Saccharomyces cerevisiae S288C: one gene and its partners. Changing the gene in region 3 together with the main gene of any one other region gives a genetic interaction. Each region holds a gene or a part of one and is shown on either strand. Other genes may lie near its edges.

Evidence for each region.
Region 1: mutations in FYV7 (region 3) and NOP6 together harm fitness more than expected from each alone (negative genetic interaction), as found in Saccharomyces cerevisiae (2 studies listed by BioGRID).
Region 2: mutations in FYV7 (region 3) and UTP30 together harm fitness more than expected from each alone (negative genetic interaction), as found in Saccharomyces cerevisiae (2 studies listed by BioGRID).

Annotation. Positions count from the first base shown.
Region 1 is NC_001136.10:73,990-82,592, forward strand, and holds NOP6 (Nop6p), read right to left. Parts: upstream 3,978-8,603; coding exon 3,300-3,977; downstream 1-3,299. Other genes in the region: serine/threonine protein kinase PRR2, read right to left, coding at 457-2,556; SHR3 (Shr3p), read left to right, coding at 4,437-5,069; YDL211C (uncharacterized protein), read right to left, coding at 5,305-6,423. UniProt on the Saccharomyces cerevisiae protein: Predicted to be involved in rRNA processing.
Region 2 is NC_001143.9:554,687-563,480, reverse strand, and holds UTP30 (Utp30p), read right to left. Parts: upstream 6,964-8,794; coding exon 6,139-6,963; downstream 1-6,138. Other genes in the region: OAF3 (Oaf3p), read right to left, coding at 1-934; rRNA-processing protein LAS1, read left to right, coding at 1,184-2,692; transcription factor TFIIE subunit TFA2, read right to left, coding at 2,829-3,815; mannosyltransferase KTR2, read right to left, coding at 4,527-5,804; TIF1 (translation initiation factor eIF4A), read right to left, coding at 7,307-8,494. UniProt on the Saccharomyces cerevisiae protein: Involved in rRNA-processing and ribosome biosynthesis.
Region 3 is NC_001144.5:268,097-273,715, reverse strand, and holds FYV7 (Fyv7p), read right to left. Parts: upstream 2,709-5,619; coding exon 2,253-2,708; downstream 1-2,252. Other genes in the region: MEF1 (Mef1p), read left to right, coding at 1-2,086; PET309 (Pet309p), read left to right, coding at 3,006-5,619.

The DNA of each region.
Region 1 (8,603 bases), on a different chromosome or scaffold from region 3:
AAAAAGGATTATACCAAAAGGTAATGTATTTTTTAGAAACCGGTTGTTCTTATATAACAAGAATTCTGACTAAACAGCAGCAATGAGTAAACGCTTGTCAGTGTTGATGTCGACAGTATAACTTTTGTTATTGTTATTGATGCCGCCGTTGACTCGTAGTTACTTGTCCTACTCAACTATTAATGTGTATTTTTACCCCAATTGCTCCTTGTTGTGGCACGCCGTCAGGCAGTATTAAATTCGGTCCTGCGGAATCGCCGCACACATAGCCGCCAGATGGGTAACCCTTTTCAAGCGGACTTGGTTTTCCGACGGTAAATAAATAAATAAATGACAGATTAGATTAGATATAGTCGTATTTTCACGTATATGTACCTATGGTTACAGTGCTGTAAGTATTACTTGCGTAAGTAAAAGCTGGAGCATATGGCCAGTATGACATTGCTATTCTTCCAGTTACGTTCGCTGATGCAGGCCGCCAATGTGGGCGTATCGTTGATCGATGTTTGTATGTATGTGATTACCTTTGTTTATTATTCGAAGCGATGCCTCATTTGGGCTTGCCGCGCCCACAACTTGACACGTTTCTATTTCTTTGATCCAGCCATCTTGTAATATTCCGTTTATGGTAATTCTTCTGAAAGGTGAAACTTCCAGTATACGCCTCATTATTTTGTGAGTTTCTTCTGGTAGTCTGTGCAGAATGAAATTGGGACCCATATCAATGACTCCTTCTTCGTAGCCATCATTATCATAATTATTGCTGTCATCGGTAGCAGGCCGTGTCACAAGATCTTTAAAAGATGACACACCTCTTCCGGAACAAAATGCCTTGAATTGAACATCTTTCACTTTGGGATATTTCCAAGGAAATCTTCTCGTTATCATACAAAAGAATATTATCCCCACGGACCAAACGTCAAGTGCTCTTGGATCGTACTCATTGAAATAAAAGACTTCGGGTGACAAGTAGGGGTCGCTACCAACAATTCCATTTGCTTCAATCATCTGTGAAGACAATGGATAGTGGAAGACACTGGAAGCGCCAAAATCAATCAATTTCAAGATTCCCCTTCGTGTTACAACGCAGTTGTCTAGCTTCAAATCACGATGAGAGAGACCGATGTCGTGCAAATATTTTACGCCGTTGATCAGCTGTTTAAAAAGACAGCATATTTCCTCGTAATGCATCTTTTCACTCATAACCAAAGAAAATAAATCATATTCGCAATACTCGAGAATTTGGAAAATTTTACCTTTCTCATACAGTATTTCCAATGTTTCACAAATATTTGGGTTCTTCAATGTGGAGGCAATACAATATTCAGAAATTATGTTCTTGATGTATTTTCTCTCAGATTCCCTTTTTTTCTTTGACCTGTATTCCTTTAATGCAAAAACTTTATTATCCAGGACCCTTTGGACCAGTTTCACTTTACCACCAGAACCTTCGCCGAGAACAACGTCGAGATCTCTATATTTCCTGGAAACCAAGTCAGTGGATGCTTCAATATTACTATATAAAGCCTGAATAATCTGATCTCTATCGCTGTCTTCATTCTCGATCATGAGAGAGAATGATCCAGTTGAGACTGGCGAAGAAGTTGTTTCCTTCAATGATGATGATATAGCGCAATCATCTGCAACTGTGCTTTCCTGGTGATCGCATGAGTTACTGTTGTTATTGCTAAAAGACGTTATTTTGAAGAGCCTTTTGATACTTGACAATGACGTAGTATAGGAGTGTTTTCTTATATGGGCCGTGCTTTCAGTGTCCTCGATATGTCTTGTATTTACTTGCACTGCTTCTGAATACGTGTCGTCGAGAGGATTCGTGGACAGTGAAGAGACCGAATCTTCTAGAGAATATACACGAGTAGTGAACATCCTCTCTTCCTCATAAACATTATATTCATGTTCTGTGGAGGTGCATGCAATCTCATCACATGTCGCCGTGGCTGTCGTGACTGGAATATTGTGACCGATAGTATTAGAAGAATTGTTGTTATGCTTGTTATCACTGATATCATTCGCTAGATTTTTTTTGGTACTACTGCTGTTTTTCTTTGATGTAAAGAAAATTAATTTGCCATAACTTTTGGGTAAACTTAACGAGTTTGAGAAAGATGACGTAAAATCGGTAGAATTTTTCCTCAATCTTCCTTTAGGAACAATAAATCTTGCTTCAACCTTACTGACCATGGGAGAGGAAATAATATTAGAGTCGATTTTAGATATGTTTTCGGGCATCTTCGTGTCAATTTTCTCCATCCAGGAAGTGGTCAGCTTTTGCACGTCCGTGTTTTCATCATCCCGGGAAGATGCAGTAAAGTCTGTCCGAGGTACACTATCTGCAACAGGGAGAGAAGAAAAAACGGAATCATATGATTTATTTAGCGCCTCACCCGTCTTAGCAGCCATATTCACACCAACACTAGTGGGATCGCCTAACGAGACGGAATATGCCCAATTATCGGAATAGGCGTGTTCTGCAGTCAAGGAAGCTGTAGTTTTGTTATTTCTCTGATTATATCGCAGGATTCTAGACAACGACATCACTCCGTATGATAAGTAAAAGGATTACGTACGCTATTGTGAACGTTTTTGCAATCTATCTAGTTTTTCCTATTAACTTTTTTCTTTTCAAAAATTCATAAAGGCAAGGAAATATGTTCCGATTGACAATAAGTTCAGTGAGTGAATGAATGTTAATGAAAAGAATTCAATTTCCAGATTTTCGTATTTATTTTTTTTTTTTGCACCTTTCCTTATTGTGTGACCACAGCCGAAGGTGACGAAGGGATGGAGACTAGCCAAAGAGAGCCGGCTGTTAGACAAAAAAAAAAGCGGAGATTGTTTAACGGATACGTCTTAATAAGCAATCCGGCAGCACCGAGAATGTTTTTACCCTCTGTCCTTTTTCTTGGCGTTCCTATAATTCAAATAACCCCCAATATGCTAACAGCCGTAACCTTAAATGTTAGACATGTTACCCCTGTACGTCATTGCGGGGGGAGTGCATTGATTAAGGGGTAGTAGTAAAAATTCCCACCGGACTTGAAGTGCGGAAAAGTAGCTCCGATTTGGGGAAAAAAAAGTACCAGCCGTCTCGTCTTTCATGATAAAGTGAAATAGAGCAGCGGTAATAATGCGGCGCTATTGCTTCCGGAAGAGTTTACGTATTGGGCATCTTTGCCATTTCTTTTTTTGGCAGTAGCATGATTCTGCACGATTATTTATGTTTTTCCCTTTATTTTCTTTTTGTCTAAGATACATGGCGTATAAAATTAAATTTGTACTCATTTAAGTAGTTTGGCTCTATCAGGATGAATTCCTGCAGGAACAGGCTTGTTGTCTGTTCCAGAGGTTTGAGCTGCAGTGGCGGTAGTTTTGGCGATTTTCTTTTGGTTGCCGTCGTTAATCATCTTTGTCAACCTCTCTTTACGTTCTTCATCCAACTTGATGTTTTTGTTTTTCAATTTTTCTAGACGCTCTTGACTGTTACCACCTCCGCCAACAGTTAGCTCGACATTGATCTTCTTCTCTTTCAGTAAGGTCCCATGTTGTAATAAGGCAATGTCCATACGTCTTTGAATGCCGGTGCGATCTTTGTCAGCATCGAATTCCAAAAATGCAATACCTTTGTCAGCTCTGAGGCGGATCTGGTCGGGTGAACTATTTTTAAAATGGTTTTGCAATTCAACAGCAGTGATGTCTCTAGGTAAGCTACCGACAAAGACAATAAATCTGTTGCCCTTTTTACCATTTTTGCCCTTACCACCACGGCCTCTACGTGTTTTTCTTTTTTTCTTCACGGGTTCTTCACCATCATTTCCGGCTGCACTGTTGGGTCTTTTTCCTTCTGGTGCTTGCTCTTTTTTTACGTCTTTCTCTTGATCTTTTTCCTCCTTACTTTTTCTAAACTGCTGAGCTTTGAGCTGCTTCTTGGTCAACTTTTTATCTTCCTCGGACCCCATTTTAGCTGTAGACGTCTTCAATCTCTATCCTGTCCTCTACATTAGATTACTTTCTCATTTTCTCAGAAAACCTTTTAAGCTCATCGATTAAGAAGAAAAAAATCTTAGAAAATTTTCAGGAATGCCGGGTAAACGTATGGGGAAAGGACTTGGTGAATCGAGTTAATGTGGAGTTCGTAATAATAGTACTCTCATACCAAGTTTTCCATCCATAATTGTTTTTGGTTGCCGTTACTTTACACCATCACCTTTCGCCAATGTAATTGGTGGCTCTTTCCCTCTCCATCTTTTTTTATAATGTACTAAAATTAATACACGATAACAATTTTTTCGGGTTGTGTAAAAACTCTGAAAAATATAAAAAGTTGATGAAAGGACAGATTTAAGTATTTTGGAAGACAGCCGTAAATTCATTGGACTACAGAGCATAAAATCCCGTGATACGATAAAACTCTAACGATGTTCTCATATTCAGATTTCTGTTCTATCGGTACGGCCATGATCTTATCGGCCACAACGTTCCTAATGGGTGTTTTCTTCAGTAACATGCCATACGATTATCATCTTTTATTTAATCCTAACTCTACTCAAGAGCATTTCGATTTGGCACTGAGACATTACCAAATTTTACATGAGACTCCATTGCCGGTGATTGTTACTTTGTGCGTTGTTGCCGGTATTGGCTTAGTTGGTGGTACAATTAAGGTTTTCAAGCCAAACCCTGAACTGCAGATGTTTGAGTATTGTTCATTGGGGTTGTACGTGTTGGCTATCTGTGTGTTTCTCACTAATGTGAAAACAGGTATCGACTGTTCTGTGAGCCATAATTGGGGAGAAGTTACGGAAAATCAGGGTTTGGCAGTTATTGCTTCCTCCAACATAATTTTATTAGTTATGTTTGCCGGTGTTATCATCCTACAAATTGGTTTGTGGTACAGTAACTGGGATTTGCAAAAAAGATTAAAGGAGTTTTATGCTCAAGAAGAAAGAGAAGCTGCCAATGCCGGTAAAAAGACTGAGAAAGTTGACAATGCGAAAAAGAATGATAACAAATCTAAAGGTGCTCAAAAGAGGAAGAACGCCAAAAAATAGGCCATAATATTTTTAACATTTTCTCTTTTTGTCCCTCTTTTCCCGTCTGTGACGAAACAGACGATTATACGAATCTAGTTGTATAGTAAGATCAATATTTATTATATAAATACTGTTGAATAAATAAAACTCTATCTGCTTCGTGCATAAATTTACAAATAATTCCAAAGAAATAGCAACAAGTACCAGCCTTGTTTAGAAGTACGAAAATCTTGGAATCCACTTTTTTCTATTTTTAAATAATTTCTCTCAAAAAGCTATTGGTTTGCTGAATATTTGGCCGAGTAATAGTAGACGCACTGGAACTTGTTTCTTCAATGGATGACTCCGCAGATTCATTGTATGACGATACGTATGAAAATCTCCCGGATTCGTGATCCGCCATCCCATAATAAGGATGTGCTATATATATACCGTCTGAGGAACTAGCTCTGTGTAAATCTCTACCATTTTCAAAGGAATCTCGTTTGCCCTCGCCGTTGGTTGTTACTTTATAATTAAGGACATTTAGGAACGGATTTGACGGTGCTTCTGTTTCTGTTACCTCATCACAACTTACCCTCTTGCCAATATCATGGCTAAAGCCCTTTTTGCTGTGATTTTTCACGTTTCGTCTGTTTCTAATAATTATGAATCCGATAAAAATTACTATTACAACTCCAATGACAACTCCAACCGTAGAACCGACAATAACTCCGGTCCTTCTATTATTGGCATCTGAGGTATCTTGAGTGTTTAGTGCACCAGATAGATATTGATAAAGTTTAGCATCCCCGGTAATGGTATTGGATGGAATGGTGAAAGTTAACGGAGGATTTGATTCTTGAAGCACAGTTGTTTGGGGAAAGTGGGTGTTAAATGTTGTCGATCGCTCTGTAAATTTGTATTCTTGGTCATAGATGATATAAACTGAGTTCTCGCTGGTGAATACGGAGTATATTTCCGATGTAGAGGTTGAGGTAAATGTTGTAGATAATGGTGTTGTTAGTTTAGTCGTCGAAGGCTCTATGGTTGGCACCTGTGAAGTAGTGAAAGTCTTCAATGTACTTAACAGTCCTCTATCGATAGTGATATTGCTTTGAACAGAGGAAGTGCAATTGCTAACCAGATATTGTGGACTTGAAGTGTTGTTGCGGAAGGAAGTCGTACCATATGCGGTTGATATGGGGACCTGAATCGAACTTTCTAAACCCTCAATGAGGTTCGTCGTAATTGAGGATACAACCTCAGTGGATAATGCAAAAATGTGGTCTGTAGCTGATGATAAGCTGGCGGTTTCTGACGTGTCAATTTCACTCAGACTTCTGGATTGAGGTGTGCTTATGTATTGCGAAGACGTTACATTTAGTAGCATGGCGAAGTATCGCAATAGAAAGAATTATCAAGATGCCTCGCGCCTTTTGAGGATGTAAAAATAAATCTTAACGTTCTATGAATTACTTTATTATCTCGAGCAGAACCATCTGAATTTTGTTTACGTTTAATCTATGAGAAATTTCTCTGACGCGAAATCTTTCACGTATTTTTAGAGCGCCCGCCCAAGGTAACATACAATACGGTTGATATCTCCTAGTTTGATGCGGTTAGTGAAATTAATATAATGAACTAATATACTCTTTTTTTTGTAAAATATGTACTTGAGCTGCTGCATTCTTCTTCCATCGTCCAGTGATATCGGTAAACCGGTAGCTTTTTCTTAACTTTGAACAAAGAAGAGATAACTACGGACCCTTCTCCACGTTTCGATCTTTGGCTTCACTTCCTCATAGCCTGTATTTGAATCTAGCAGGTGTAATATTGTGGAAGAATGAAAACAGTATTTTTAATGGATTACTAAGGCATATTTAATGCGTTGTCAAGGAGGATGCTTGCACTGCAAAAACGATACATAAGTTAGCATGGGAATTTCATTAATGAAAGAATAAATGCACCGAAACAAAATCATGAATTAATTGTGGTTTCAGAATAATGAAAAATCCATTGGCTGTTCCTGTTCCTATGTGAATGGTTCATCTCTGCCATAATAATTACTATTTTGTTTAAAGAGTCTTTACTAGATATTGCCGTTCACCTTTTGCCTACGAGCTAGCGATAGAGATTTCTGTATGGTATCTGACTTGACATAATGTCCGACATCCCGTTGAAGATATCAAACAATACATGACAAAGGTCGGGCATTAATCTGCTCAAACATTAATTCTTTAAACCTATCTCGATCATATCTAAGAAAGAAAAAAAACTGGCTTTTCGGTTCCTAGTGTTAACTCCAGTACCTGGTGTTGAGAAAAATTTACTATGTGGCCCGGCTAAGTAGTGCAATATTCTGGTACCATACTTCTAGAAATTTTTGCGCGATAACCTAGTGTTTTCTGACGAAGATTTTGGTGTCATTTGTATCTTCGTCGGTACAAAATGGTAATCATAGTATGTTTCCATGTTTTTGGACAAAAAAAAGAAGAAGGTAGCCAAAGAGCTGAATTTGCTATTCTTTTGTGATTATTGTGCGCAAAATAGTGACATTTTCTTTCTCAAATTAGTTACACCCCGGATCCTAACCTTTACTGGCCTGTTGACGTTATTTGTTACGGGCTCAGCCCATCTGAGTAAATTTGGCAATTGTGTTCAAGTCAACGCCTGGAATCATTCCCAGCGTTTTATTATGGACTGGGACTCTTGCAACTGTTCTACTGGCACAGTGGATTTATAGTGAACTGGATTTTTCAAAAATGGCTTCACTTTGAGAAACACTATTTACTATGTTTGTTAACTTCTTAACAGTGTGTATTACTTTTTTGCCATATTGATATTAAAAAAGTCATTTCGACTGCTGACAGAGAATACAACTAGTAACTGGAGAGATAGCTGGTGCAGTGAGTGATTCCACATAATGCCAGACTTCTACTCGTCAGCCAGTTCGATTGTTGAGGAAACATAGCAAAGCAGTTAAGCTGTTTTATTTGTTGGCGAAATCGAACTTGTGAAAGTTGTGGGCTATCCTCGCTTTGATTACATGAGTAGAACCCAAGGATTTATGGAAAATTTGACTGGCTTCAAGATTTTTAAGGCAGTTCTATGAGATCACACACTTAATCCGCTTCCAGAATTTATTTTCTTTTTTTGATGATTTATGCTCAAGGAATTTACCTGTTCTCAAGAATATGTTTTTAATTCGAAGCTTTGCGTATATGATGTTTATCAATAACGTGTGCATCGTCGATATCTCTTCGCTAACAAAAAGCAATTTAAGTACCAAACAAACAGTAGTAATAGAGTGGGTCTACTTTGTCGATTGCCGTAGCAGGACATTTAACGCAAACGCTTCGGTAATCTGGTGAAATGATTGGATTAGGTGTTTTGTAAATTTTTTTTTTTTTTAGAAGATATTAATGCTGCATAGGGGAGAGATAAACGTCGCGGGAATTTGTGGCGGTGGAGCCCAGGTACGTATTAATTTTGAATGGCGCAAATCTACTAAGTACGGTATCATTTTGATGTCGGAATACGGATAGTCAGTCCATAACTGCACCACCAATA
Region 2 (8,794 bases), on a different chromosome or scaffold from region 3:
AGAAAACCATATGATCGTAGTGTTTTATAGAAATTGGATTCCCTTTCTCGACTATATTTTGATAAAATATCGTTATTTCATGACGCAAAACTTTCATATCGAAAATCGGTATCATATTGTAAATTTTTTCTTCAAAAAGTGCTAAAACCTCACTTTCAAGTATTTTTAAAGGAGGCAAATAATCCTTTGCTAATATAGTTTCTGAGCTGAATTTTTTAGCATTATTTTCTCTGTATTGAGCGAATTTGTTAAACAATGATTTGTGAATAGTCTGATGCATGCGGAAGTTATTGCCCTTACCAACAACATCATCGCTAATGTGGCGTTCGTCATCAGCATCGAAAGTGGATAAAGCTTCGAAAGATTTAGGCAAGCTTCCATTTTTCACATTATTGCCGTTGCTTCCCAATTTATCCATCATTTTTTTGATTGCGATACTTCTAAATGTTACCATTGCTTGGAGATAGGGGTCGCGATTTTCAATTGCTCTATCCGTGAACAGACCAAATAAATTATCAGCAGACCTTTTGGTCTCTAAATAAAACCCATTAGGGATGAGGTCAATAAAAAATGGAGTTTCTTCATGAATTGGTAGATAATAAAGTGATGATTGATTTTCAAGTTCTCGTACTCTTTGCCAGTGATCTTCGTCTTGTCTTGTCTGTGACGATCTTCTTTTCTTAATGAAACCTGGACTTATTCGTTCCGCAGGAGTTGATTGTTTCCTCAGAGGGTCAGCATCATTCAATGAAGGACTGCTTTCAGGTTGTCCAGAGCTATCGGTGAGATAGACACAGCTGTCCACATCTCCCAGTCGTACACATGTTCCACATGGTTTCGTTCGATCGCACTTACTTTTCCTTTTTTTGCAATTTGTGCATACTACAGTAATTCGATGTCGTTTTTTTGTCCTAACTTGGGAGTCATATCCCATTATGAGATCAGTTGTCAACTAAAGTCTGGTATCAATTGGTTTCTAGTTTCTTTCTTCTCTTCATAGACTCATAACACTGCAAAATCGCAACAATAAATTCATGACTTATTGTTATGCAAAAAATTACCCGAATGTGAAAGATTAATAAGCTCATCGCAGTCGCAGAAAGAGTGAAAAAAATACCTAAGAATGCCTAAATTAGCTTAAACAAAAGTCATTTCTAGAAAGCAATGAAAAAAGGGCAATCTAATGATACCACCACGAATCGTTCCATGGAGGGATTTTGCTGAACTAGAGGAGCTGAAACTTTGGTTTTACCCGAAAAGCAAAGGAACCATTGAAGATAAGCGACAGCGTGCAGTGCAAAGAGTACAGAGCTACCGACTAAAGGGTTCCCAATATTTACCTCACGTGGTGGACTCTACAGCACAAATAACATGTGCGGTATTGCTAGACGAAAAGGAAGCGTGTTTAGGAGTACATCAGGATTCTATTCCTATCCGGTTATCGTATGTAATGGCTTTGATTCGGTTTGTCAATGGCTTATTGGATCCAACGCAACAATCTCAGTTCGCTATTCCCTTACACACATTAGCTGCTAAAATTGGACTGCCGTCCTGGTTTGTTGATTTGAGACACTGGGGTACACATGAGAGAGATTTACCTGGATTAGAAATGCTTCGTTGGGCCGCCAATGAAGCGTTATCTTGGCTATATGATCACTACTGGAACGATGAGGAATTAGAAGATGACAGGGATGATGATGACGATGATGATGATACCGGTTACGGATACAGAAGAAATGATAAACTGGAGAAATATATGGAGTCATTAACTAAAACACTTGATAAATGGAAGCGACTTAGAAACGAGTTTCTGGAATACAAATGGGTGTGGGAGAATGCAAACGATAGTTTAATTACAAGTAGTAACTTTTCTGGGGATAATTTGGTGAACTATGATGCCGAAAAGAGGAAAAGTTCACACGCAAGTTCATCAGAAACTATGATCAGGGAAAATTTGCGTCAATGGCAAGAACTTTGGAAATTATCCATTTATCACAATGTGGTTCTTGAGAAATTTTTTAACAATTATGACCCACTTTTACTCAAAGTTTTAATGCTTAATTTGAACAATTTTGATTGGAAGGTCATTGAGTGGGTAGCTAGGAATTACAGAACCCAACAAGATGATAGTAATATAACGACAATTTTAAAAAGGAAATTCAATGCCTGGAAAGAACTACAAAAAAGGCTGTTAGATGTTATTATAAATAACCTTAACAATAAAAATTTTAAAAATAAATGGCAAAATTGGGAGAAACTTATTGATGAAAATGCGTCATACTTGATATTGTATTTTTGCCAATCTATGCTGGCCAAACTAGAGACTGAAAAAATTACTGGTAACTCATGGAGAAACAAAAAACGGAGAAAACAAATTGATAGCACAGTGGAAATCGAGGCAAAACTGAAGGAAAACATAGACAATTTATCATTAAGGTTTAATGAAGGTGAAATAAAGCTGTATGATTTTATTCCTGCGGAAAAAGATTCCGTTCCATTGAAGAAGGAAGTGAGTCCGGCATTAAAGGCTGATACCAATGATATACTAGGCGATTTGGCGTCTTTGAAACAGAGAATGAGCAGTTTCGGAACAGTAGGTAAAAAAAATAAACAAGAGGAGAACAGAGCTACACCAGTAAAAAATTGGTCAAGGGTTCAAAATTGGAAACCCAAACCCTTTGGTGTCCTGTAACCTGTTTCCAATGCTCGTTATAAATACGTTGTAGACTATAAAGCTGAGTTGTATGCTGCACCCTAACGTGCATGTATATATAATCACAGTCTCTTTAACCTAATATGCAAACGAAAATGATTTAATCAAAACAACCTCATACTCTATGGGAATAATCTTTCAAGATACCGGTCATATGAGTGTTAGTAATCTTACCCTTTCTTTGTCTCTTCTTTTTAACTTCAACTCTCTTTGTTTGTCTTTTGATAGTAGCAGGATCGACACTAGCAGGCTTTAGACCTAAATCTTGCAGCTTTCTTGGCAATTCTGCAAATTGCGGTAATTGCACATTTTCCCACATTTTAACAAACTCCTCGTCAATACATTTCAAGTTACCACCGCTGTTATACCAAACGTATCTTGGAGTTTTATCCTTTTTAGTTCTTAACACCAAAATTTTGCTGTCTTCCTCCAGTTGGTTAATCGTTTCATCGCATTGTGGCCAACCGTCTTTCAAGTCTTTGCAGGAAATACCTTTGAATGTTACTTGTGAACGTAACAACTTCAGCAGTTCCGAAGGGGAATGGACATCGTAGGTGGAAAGGTATTTGAAAGTCCCCTTCTTGGGGTCAAACTCTATTCTATCTAATTTTTTTAAAAGCTCAATAACCTTGTCATCTTTTTTCATTGACAAGTAGTCCAATAACTCATTCACCAAAACGGGCTTACCTTTCTTTTGAATGTATTCAGTCGCCCAAAGCAACTTTGAAGAATCGTGACTCTTGGAAATATCTGTTTGATTTGCTTGTAAAGCGGCTGCAGCAATAGAGCCAGGCCTTACTTTTTTTGAAGGAGAGCTACCAAAATCTTCGTCGTCATCGTCGTCATCTAATGAAATAGCATTAGAGCTATTGCTCCCAGCTTCTTTCTTGATATCCACTAACACAGGATTTTTCGCAGAGTTCAAAGTGTTTTCTTGCGCACGTTCGGAGGCCGTCCTCTTCCTAGTGTTTCCATCTATAGTAATCACTGTGTCATTGGTCTTCTTCTGTCCAACTTTAGCGGGTGCGATCACCGGGGCAGACTTCACTTTGCTTTTGAAAGCGTTCAAATTAGCCAGTAGAGGGTCCCTGTTTTTACTCATCGCAAAAGACTACTCTCTTTTCCAAATCGAACGAACTACTTGGTATAAAACAGTTCTGTGTAACAGCTTTCTCGTGTTCTACAGAGCACACGGTTATGTAACTAGTTCACTTCTTATTAGCTCTTTTGCCCTGATTCGTAAGTGAACTTCTTACCCGAAGTAAGCTCGCGCTTTTCTTTTTCTTCTCGCATATAACATTTTGACTATAAAAGCCGTGAACTATAGCATTTGCTACCAGAAAGAATTTTTCTTGCCCTGGACCTTTGATGCTTTAAAAAACATTTCTCTTAAAAGAAAGCATAACAATTTGTGATGCTTTAGGGAGCCTATTGTTTGATGGTTTATAGGAGCCGGATTTGTCTTTTTGACTAATTTTCAACCTATTCTTACTTCCAAAACTGTTGCAATGGCTCTCGTTTTTTTTAAATTTTTCTCTTTTCTCTTCTTTGGCATAGTTTATTTTTAATAAATTATTTCAGGGTGAGATAGAGAAAGGATAATGAGTATCGTAGATAAATCTTCGGTTCCGAATAGTGTAACTGTTGGTGCTGAGGTAATCCATCTTTAAAACCATCGCCGTTAGAGGTTGCTTCTGATATTTTCGGTTAAGCGACCCATGAAATGGTGATGACCTGAGGTATGGAACATCTTTCTTGATGGTTACTTTGTTATATATACGTATTTATAGTATGCGGATACACGCTTTTCTCGCTATGAATCGTGTTTGAGGAAGTATTTACCGCTGCCGTCCTTCCACCATCTTCTCAGGCAGCTGATGACATTGAGATCAATATTGTCTGGGTGATTGCTATCACAAAGACATCTTTGTTGAAGTCTCAGGTAGTATGCAGATGGACACGTGCCAAAAGGCATATGCTTATAGCCTAATTCATCAAAATGGATGATTTCGTCTTTTTTCAAAAGAAGTGAGGCAGCAATCGAATGAACTGGTGCATCTCCCCACCTTTCATAGTAAAAACCGCCCTTTGAATCCAAGTACTCGAAAAATCTAATGTATTTCTCACTTCTGAAAAAGTTCAAATCGCCAATTTCAAAATTTGTCCAAAAATGACATAAATTATAGCCGCTGTTACTATCGATGACACCAAAAGATTTACCGATGAAGTCGAAATTTGATACGAACCCGAAAGCGTTGCTTTCCATGTCAATATCTGCTGACTCTGTTTCTTCGAGATATTCTTCTACAGCTTCCCATAGGCTCGGAATTGTATCTTCGTATTCATACATAGTTATCACAAAGCCATATTTCTTATTGTTCTGCCTCATCACCTTGAATGGATCGTAGGGAAAATCGCAAAAATACTCTACATCTGGCTCAACTCTGAAATAAAAATCGTACGGATCTAATATCTTTTGTCTAAAGAAAAATCCAGAATTAAATCGGCACATATTTCTATATGACTTTGACCCACCGTACAAGATATTTTTTTCCTCCATTAATTGTAAAGCCTCTTCAAATAGAGTTTCGTTGATCCAAGATGGCCTGTTCCAGTCCTCCGCAGGGATTAAAGCGTATTGCGTTCTACCACTAGCCATGGCTGTGGTGGCTTCGATGAACTCTTGATCAAATGGGACATCATTAAGAAATGTCCAGTCATACTGGTAGTTTTTATTGAAACGGTCTTCTAGTGATCTCATGGAACGGAGTGCCCCCGAAAGTTCCCAATTACGCACAAGCATTAACAATGTAGCATTTTCTCTTTGATTTTTTATTCCCTTGGTCTTGTTTAGTGGTTCATCATTATAAGTGTTGCTAGATAGCTTCAGCGTCTGATTCATATGTCGCCTCCTTGTAAAATCATATCTCGATGAAACTTCTCGAGATCTTCTAAAAAAATACGAATCTAGGCTCAGCTGTCTCTGATATGGTACAAGTGCAAGCCAACATGTTTGAGCTATCAAGCAAAATAGAAGACTAACAAAAAGTAGTTTTTTAACCTGTGTAAGAAATACCTTGCAGATTTGCATGAAGCTCCTACGCTTTTAAATAAACAACTATTGTATAGAAAAAACGCAAAAAAAGCGTTGCATGTATAGGTGTCACATACCTGAAGAGATATAAAGAATCAAGAATATCATCAGACAGGCAAATGGTGGCTTATTATGTTTATTCTATTTTTATAGGGTGTCTGTTCTTTTTTTTTTCTTTTTTTTTTTCGCTTACTAAATTTCTATAATCTTGCAAATTCTTGAAAGGAATTAAAGTTTAAAACACTTTATTAATGCTATAATTAGTTAGACAAAATCACGCTTTTTCATTGGGAGTGTTTAAATACCGTATTTAAAAGATGATGCTTTAATTTTACAATTTAATATCACTCAGATCTTCATTTTTCTGATTTTCTCTAGCCTCTGAAAACTGATATATAGGCAAACTAGTACTGTTACTGGTCTTGACAAATATAGATATTATTCCTCCTTTAATGACGCCGCCTTGCGGTCTCTTACTTTTATCAGTGAGAAAGTTTATTGTATCTTGGATGTTTTGCAAAATTTCTGGTATGGAGTGTTTTTGAATATAACCGACCCTGACGCTTAAGCAGTTGTCATTATTGGGAATGTATGAGGTATTCTTACATATACTTCTCAATTGTGCTCTCACGTAAATGGGGTCACATTTTTCGACCATTTGTTGACGCTTCAATTTTACTTCTTTCGACATGCGGATCATGTATGGCAATTTTTTACTACCGTGATAAAATCTGCTACCAAGAACCTCCGGAAGTAAGTGGTGAACTCTGTAATCGGCAACGACCAAGTCAAAATCTTTATAAAGTTGGGTCAGTTTACTCCCTTTGAATCTACGTCTCAAGTTCTTGACACTTATAATTTCCTTGAATAATTCCGACGTATGCTCGTCTTTCGTCAAAGTTTCTCTATACAAGGCAGAGGGATCCTTGGTAATGAGTAATATGTTTAGGTCCCTTGGTTTAAATAGCTTGTACTTTGTTAATGGAATAATACGGGGGATGTTGTCCCTGTTTATGCCCATTTTTTTGCCCGTGTTGATGATTATGTGTATGTCCTTATCATTTTTTAAAGATGGGTTCTCTTCACATTGTAAAATTAGAGCCTTTAGTGCTTTCTCTGCCAGCCCACTTTTTATAATATCATTTGACTCAACCATCCCAAACCTCGAGATATAGCGTTTGATGTACACTTTTTCTTTTCAGCTCCAATCTCTATTAGTAGGGCATCGATTTTTTTTTTTTTCCTTTTATATATATTATTTTTTATAAATTTGAAAAATTTCAGATAGATACGTTCGGATATATACAAAAAGACAAAGCAAACAATTAGTATAGGGTATTTCAACCTTCGTGCCGAGAGTCTTTTGGACTTTGAAGAATAATAGGAATGTAAAAAGAAAAACAAATTAAATACAAAAAGCATATATAACTTTTTAGAAATATATGTTACGTTATCAAGATAGCCTCACAAGATACTTTTTTAAGAAGTTTTTGTCTCCCTTAGTTCAACAAAGTAGCGATGTCGGATGGCAATTCTTCAATTTGAGTGGAGTAGAACTTTTCTAGTTCTCTCATAGCGCCAACGTCTTCGTTAGTAACAAAGTTGATGGCAACACCCTTTCTACCGAAACGACCACCTCTACCGATTCTGTGAATATAGTTTTCTTTGTTAGCTGGTAAGTCGTAGTTAATAACCAAAGAAACTTGTTGGACATCGATACCTCTAGCCAACAAATCAGTGGAGATCAAAATTCTGGAAGAACCACTTCTGAATTCCTTCATGATGGTGTCTCTTTCTTGTTGTGGTAAATCAGAGTAGATGGCAGAAACGGTAAATTTGTCGTTTCTTAACTTAGTGGTCAATTCTTCGACCTTTCTTCTGGTGTTACAGAAGATGACAGCTTGAGTAACGGAGATAGAGTCGTATAAATCGGTCAAACACTCGTATTTGTATTCTTCTTCTTCAACATTAACGTAGAATTGTTTGATACCTTCCAAAGTCAATTCATCCTTCTTAACCAAAATTCTAACTGGGTTTCTCATAAATTTGGTGGTAACTTCCAAGACGTCATTTGGCATGGTGGCGGACAATAGAACAACTTGAGTGGTTGGTGGAAGTAAGGTGAAAATTTGGTAGATTTGTTCCTTGAAACCAGAAGACAACATTTCATCAGCTTCATCTAAGATGAACATCTTGATCTTGTCAGTTCTGAATCTACGTCTTTGGATGTTGTCAAAAACACGACCTGGAGTACCAACGACGATTTGAGCATCTCTCAAACCTTCAGCGTCTTCAACAAAGGAAGTACCACCGATACAAGCGTGGACCTTGATGTCCATGTGGAAAGCCAAAGCCATGACAACCTTTTGGATTTGCAAAGCCAATTCTCTAGTTGGAGCCAACATCAAAGCTTGAGGAGCCTTGACAGAGGTGTCAATTCTTTGCAAAGCAGCAATGGAAAAGGTACCGGTCTTACCAGTACCAGATTGAGCTTGAGCCAAGACATCGTGACCTTCAATAATAGGCATGATGGCACGTTGTTGAATGGCAGATGGTTCTTCGAAACCGTAACCGAAAACACCTCTTAACAAGTTTTCGTCCAATTCCATATCATCGAACTTGTAGACAACCTTGTCATAGTTGGTTTGAATTTGGGATTCTTCAATATCAGTAATACCTTCAGACATCTTGTATATAATTAGAAGGAGGCCGTTTAACGAATTTGTTATAAAATAAGAAAAGAAAAGACTAGAGACCAAATAAAAAATCTACAAATGTCAGGGCTGCGTATATTCATACCTTTGTTCTGTGATGTTAGCTCAAGTTCTTAGCACATCATTCAATAGACGAGGTGAGAATGCAAAAATTTTTCAGTCACTATAAACGTTGTGAGGTGAGAAAAGATAAACAGCAAGCATCGGATGTTGTTGCTGATAAACCTTTAAAGTAAATTTCGAGTTTGAATGTATATAGAATAGTTATGCATT
Region 3 (5,619 bases):
TAATAAATTGCGTAACATAGGTATATCTGCTCATATTGACTCCGGAAAAACTACTTTCACTGAACGTGTTCTGTACTATACAAAAAGAATCAAAGCCATTCATGAGGTTCGTGGTAGGGATAATGTTGGAGCCAAGATGGATTCTATGGATCTTGAAAGGGAAAAGGGTATTACTATTCAGTCTGCCGCTACTTACTGCTCTTGGGATAAAGAGGGCAAAAACTATCATTTCAACTTGATCGACACTCCAGGTCATATTGATTTCACTATCGAAGTGGAGCGTGCTCTTAGAGTACTAGACGGTGCAGTTCTTGTTGTTTGTGCTGTTTCAGGTGTTCAATCCCAAACTGTGACCGTGGATCGTCAAATGCGTAGATATAATGTTCCAAGAGTAACTTTCATCAACAAAATGGATCGTATGGGTTCAGATCCCTTCCGTGCAATAGAACAACTTAATTCGAAACTAAAAATACCTGCTGCTGCTGTACAAATTCCTATCGGATCGGAATCAAGCTTATCTGGTGTCGTTGATTTGATTAATAGAGTTGCTATTTACAACAAGGGTGATAATGGTGAAATTATAGAAAAAGGGCCAGTGCCTGAAAATTTGAAGCCATTAATGGAGGAAAAAAGACAACTTTTGATCGAAACACTTGCTGATGTGGATGATGAAATGGCAGAAATGTTTTTGGAAGAAAAGGAGCCTACCACGCAACAAATTAAAGATGCTATTCGCAGATCTACAATTGCTAGGTCTTTTACACCAGTTTTGATGGGATCCGCACTGGCAAATACTGGTATTCAGCCCGTTTTGGACGCTATTGTAGACTACTTACCTAATCCCTCTGAAGTGTTGAATACAGCTCTAGATGTGAGCAACAACGAAGCCAAGGTTAACTTAGTTCCTGCGGTGCAACAGCCATTTGTTGGATTGGCATTCAAATTGGAAGAAGGCAAATATGGTCAATTGACTTATGTTCGCGTATATCAGGGGCGTTTAAGAAAAGGTAATTACATTACAAATGTAAAGACTGGTAAAAAAGTGAAGGTTGCAAGATTGGTCAGGATGCATTCTAGTGAGATGGAAGATGTTGATGAAGTTGGCTCAGGTGAAATTTGCGCTACTTTTGGTATTGACTGTGCTTCTGGAGATACATTCACTGATGGTAGCGTTCAATACTCTATGTCATCCATGTATGTTCCAGATGCTGTTGTCTCGTTATCGATTACGCCAAATTCAAAGGACGCATCGAATTTTTCGAAGGCTTTGAACAGATTTCAAAAGGAAGACCCTACATTCAGAGTGAAGTTCGATCCTGAATCTAAAGAAACAATTATTTCTGGGATGGGTGAATTGCATCTGGAGATTTACGTTGAAAGAATGAGACGTGAATATAATGTGGACTGTGTCACGGGTAAACCGCAGGTTTCCTATAGAGAATCTATCACCATCCCGGCAGATTTTGATTATACACATAAAAAACAATCTGGTGGCGCTGGTCAATATGGTAGAGTTATCGGTACCTTATCTCCCGTGGATGACATTACCAAAGGCAACATATTCGAGACCGCTATTGTTGGTGGCCGTATACCGGACAAGTATTTGGCTGCATGTGGTAAGGGTTTTGAAGAAGTATGTGAAAAGGGACCATTGATCGGTCATCGTGTTTTGGATGTTAAAATGCTAATCAATGATGGTGCTATTCATGCCGTGGATTCTAATGAATTATCATTCAAAACAGCTACTATGTCAGCCTTCCGTGACGCCTTCCTGAGGGCACAGCCGGTGATCATGGAACCTATCATGAATGTTTCAGTAACATCGCCAAACGAGTTTCAAGGTAACGTCATCGGTTTATTGAATAAATTACAAGCAGTAATACAGGATACCGAAAATGGTCATGATGAATTTACATTAAAAGCAGAATGTGCCTTGAGCACGATGTTCGGTTTCGCCACCTCATTAAGAGCCTCGACTCAAGGTAAAGGTGAGTTTTCATTAGAGTTTAGTCATTACGCTCCAACAGCGCCCCATGTTCAAAAAGAATTGATATCTGAGTTCCAAAAGAAGCAAGCGAAGAAATAGTCAAGTCCTCATGGGCAAAACAGTCTTGTAAATAACAAATTCCAATAAAAAGGAATTAACAAAAGGCAGGAAATAAAATTAATATACACACTAATTAAGTAAATTTAAATAAAAAGATCTTTCTGTAAATACACGAATGAAAAGAAATTTTGAAGAATATCATTATCTAGGAGGTATAAGTATCATCCGTCTTAATTTTATCCAAAAGATCCTCTATCTTAGGGCCCATCAAGGGCTGGCCTGTCCTTGTTCTTTGAGTCAATTTCTTCTTTCTATCTTCTCTCCTCTGAAATTTTTCCTTCGAAACTCTGATTCTTTCCAATTGCTCGTTTCTTTGCTTGTTTAATTCATCTTTTTGCATTCTCTTTCTTTGTTTCTTGATCTCCTTCTTCTCGTCTAGTTTCTTCTTTCCCTCTATTGCCCTGGCTTCCTTAATCTTCCTTACAGATTCTTTTGCCACGGTTTTTGGTTCCTTTTCTGGTACGGCATACCCTTCATCTTTTAAAGCTTTAAGGTATTCCTTTCTCAGTCTAGTTTTCTTTGTAATACTTCTTTGGATCTCCTTAACCTTATACTCCCTCGTAAACTTCTTTCTATTTTGATTTTGCTTGGCTGTACCCATATTGATTTTGCTCAGTTGCTTACTTGACCACCTTCCTGTATCATTCTTGTGAAAGCACTTTTAATACTATCGCGATGAGGTTTGATTTTGAAATTTTTCATTGTTTGAAGGAAAAGTAACTTTTCGGGCCAATAGAGAAATAAAAATAAAAAATCATGTAGTGTAAGTTAAAGTGGGATTTCTAGGTGACGCTAACGCAGCCTCGATACCCAGGAAAGAGGCCGCAATAGTGTACAAAGCTTCGAATTTAAGTGATTAAGGGTGTTGGAGTATACTGAAACACGCTTTTTGGCCATTATGAAAAGGTGTGCTCCTGCCGTATTAAGAAATTATAATTATAAGAAGGGTATATGGAGTACCGGCGTACCTGATCATATAAGGAAGCTGCTTCGAGATAAATCGACGTCACCATTATGCTCACAGGATGAGAGAAACCTGGTCTCATATTTTATGGCGCGCGGAAGTGTTCCTCTAAAGTCGGTTGGCAGTGGATTAACAAAGAAAGCAACAACATCAATAACAAGTAATTCAGCTACCACAACATTTGAACGACAGTACCTTATAAAGTATCTTTATCGGCACCAGGCCTATGGGAACGTTATAAAAATTGCACAGAAGTTTCTTTATACCACTATTGGTTCACAAAGATTGTTAAAACAGGATGCCTCATTACCTGAATTGAAAAAGTTCCTTCTCTCTTTATTGATTTTACAAAGAGGTATTCAATTAGATCAGGCAATCTCTGATATCATACAACGGTTTCTATTAACACAAAAGACAATGGTGATAGACCTCATTAACTCGATTTTCTCTAGGATGGTTATAATGAATATGCATGAAGAAGCTGTATATAAATGGGTCAAATGGATGAAACTAGTGAATGGACATTGTGAATTTACGAATTATATGGAGAACAAGATAGTTTTGAGAAACTTTTTATCATTCATGAGGCAATCAAATGTTCGCCCCGATTATTTATCTTATTTGAAAGCAATTCAGCTAACGCAAGGGCCCGCAATAGCGTCTCAATTTGCAACTACGTTGTTGTTCTTATTAACTTATATTAGGAAATTTTCTTCTGCAGAAGCAGTTTGGAATTACAAGTGCGAACATAACCTGCCGATAGTGAGTTCTGACCTGACGTGTATTCTAAAGACGTATTGTCACATGCAGAAGTTTAATTTGGTTTCGTCAACATATTGGAAATACCCTGATGCTCAGCACGACCAAAACCAATTTGATTATCTTTTGGTGGCTCATTCTAGGCTGCATAATTGGGACGCCTTACAACAACAGTTCAATGCTCTTTTCGGTATCGGTAAGCTACCTTCCATACAACATTATGGTATTTTGATGTATACTATGGCCAGAATTGGTGAATTGGATAGTGTCAATAAACTATATACACAGTTATTGAGGAGAGGTATGATACCGACATACGCTGTTTTACAATCTTTACTATATGCACATTATAAAGTCGGAGATTTCGCAGCCTGTTTTAGCCACTTCGAACTATTCAAGAAATACGACATAACGCCTTCAACAGCAACGCATACCATAATGCTTAAAGTGTATCGTGGTTTAAATGACCTTGATGGTGCGTTTAGGATATTAAAAAGACTAAGCGAGGATCCTAGCGTGGAAATCACGGAGGGGCACTTTGCTTTATTGATACAAATGTGTTGCAAAACTACGAACCATTTAATCGCTCAAGAATTATTCAACCTTATGACTGAACATTATAATATCCAACACACTGGAAAAAGTATCTCTGCATTGATGGATGTATATATTGAGAGTAACAGGCCAACAGAGGCAATAGCATTATTTGAAAAACATTCAAAGAATTTATCTTGGAGAGATGGTCTAATTTCAGTGTATAACAAAGCCATCAAAGCTTATATTGGTTTACGAAATGCCAACAAGTGTGAAGAACTTTTCGACAAGATCACAACCTCAAAACTGGCTGTAAACAGTGAATTTTACAAGATGATGATAAAATTTTTAGTTACACTGAACGAAGATTGCGAAACGGCATTGAGCATCATAGATCAACTAATAAAACATTCTGTAATCAAGGTGGACGCTACACATTTTGAAATAATAATGGAGGCATATGACAAAGAGGGTTATCGTGACGGTATAATTAACTTGTACAAGACAATGTCACAGAATAAGGTACCAGCGAATTCCAAAATTTTATATTATATATTGAAGGCCGTTGCCAAAAAAAGCCTACAAAATAATGAGGAAATCAAGGAAACGATTAATATGGTAGAAGACATCATGGAAAATGCTGCCAATGGAACTCTCGACGTTACGTATAACAAACTGCATCCCTCGGTCATGGCATGGCCAATGAGAATGATTGTGAAACATGATAGCCCACAGCGGGCTTTAGAGTTATACAACCGGTACAATGAGCTTTTCTTCAAAAAGCATGATTGGATATCAAATAATAATAAATTTGTGATGATGAGATCATTGTTGGTATTACTAGCTCAAATTGAACAATGGAAAGATTTCGAAACACTTTTCGCTAAATACATGGATCGTATTGAAAACATTGAAAACTTGCCATCATCTACAACGCCAAATATTAAACTAAGAAGCATATTCAGCGGATTGTTCCCTTATAAAGTAAGTCAGTTGATTGCAATGAATAAAATCGATGAGCTGCCATTACTGTGGAAGAAATTGCGAGAAAAAGGTTTTATTTTAGATAATATATCGTGGAACAGCGCTGTAGAAGCGTTATTTAAGGATCCAAGAACCCTTTCGTATGGTATGAAAATCGTTGATGACACACTAATTCATGGGTATAATTTGATCCATAAATTTAGACTATTAACGAAACTATCCGAGGATAAGACGCAGTCCAGTGATAAATCTTGGCCAACATTAAAAATGA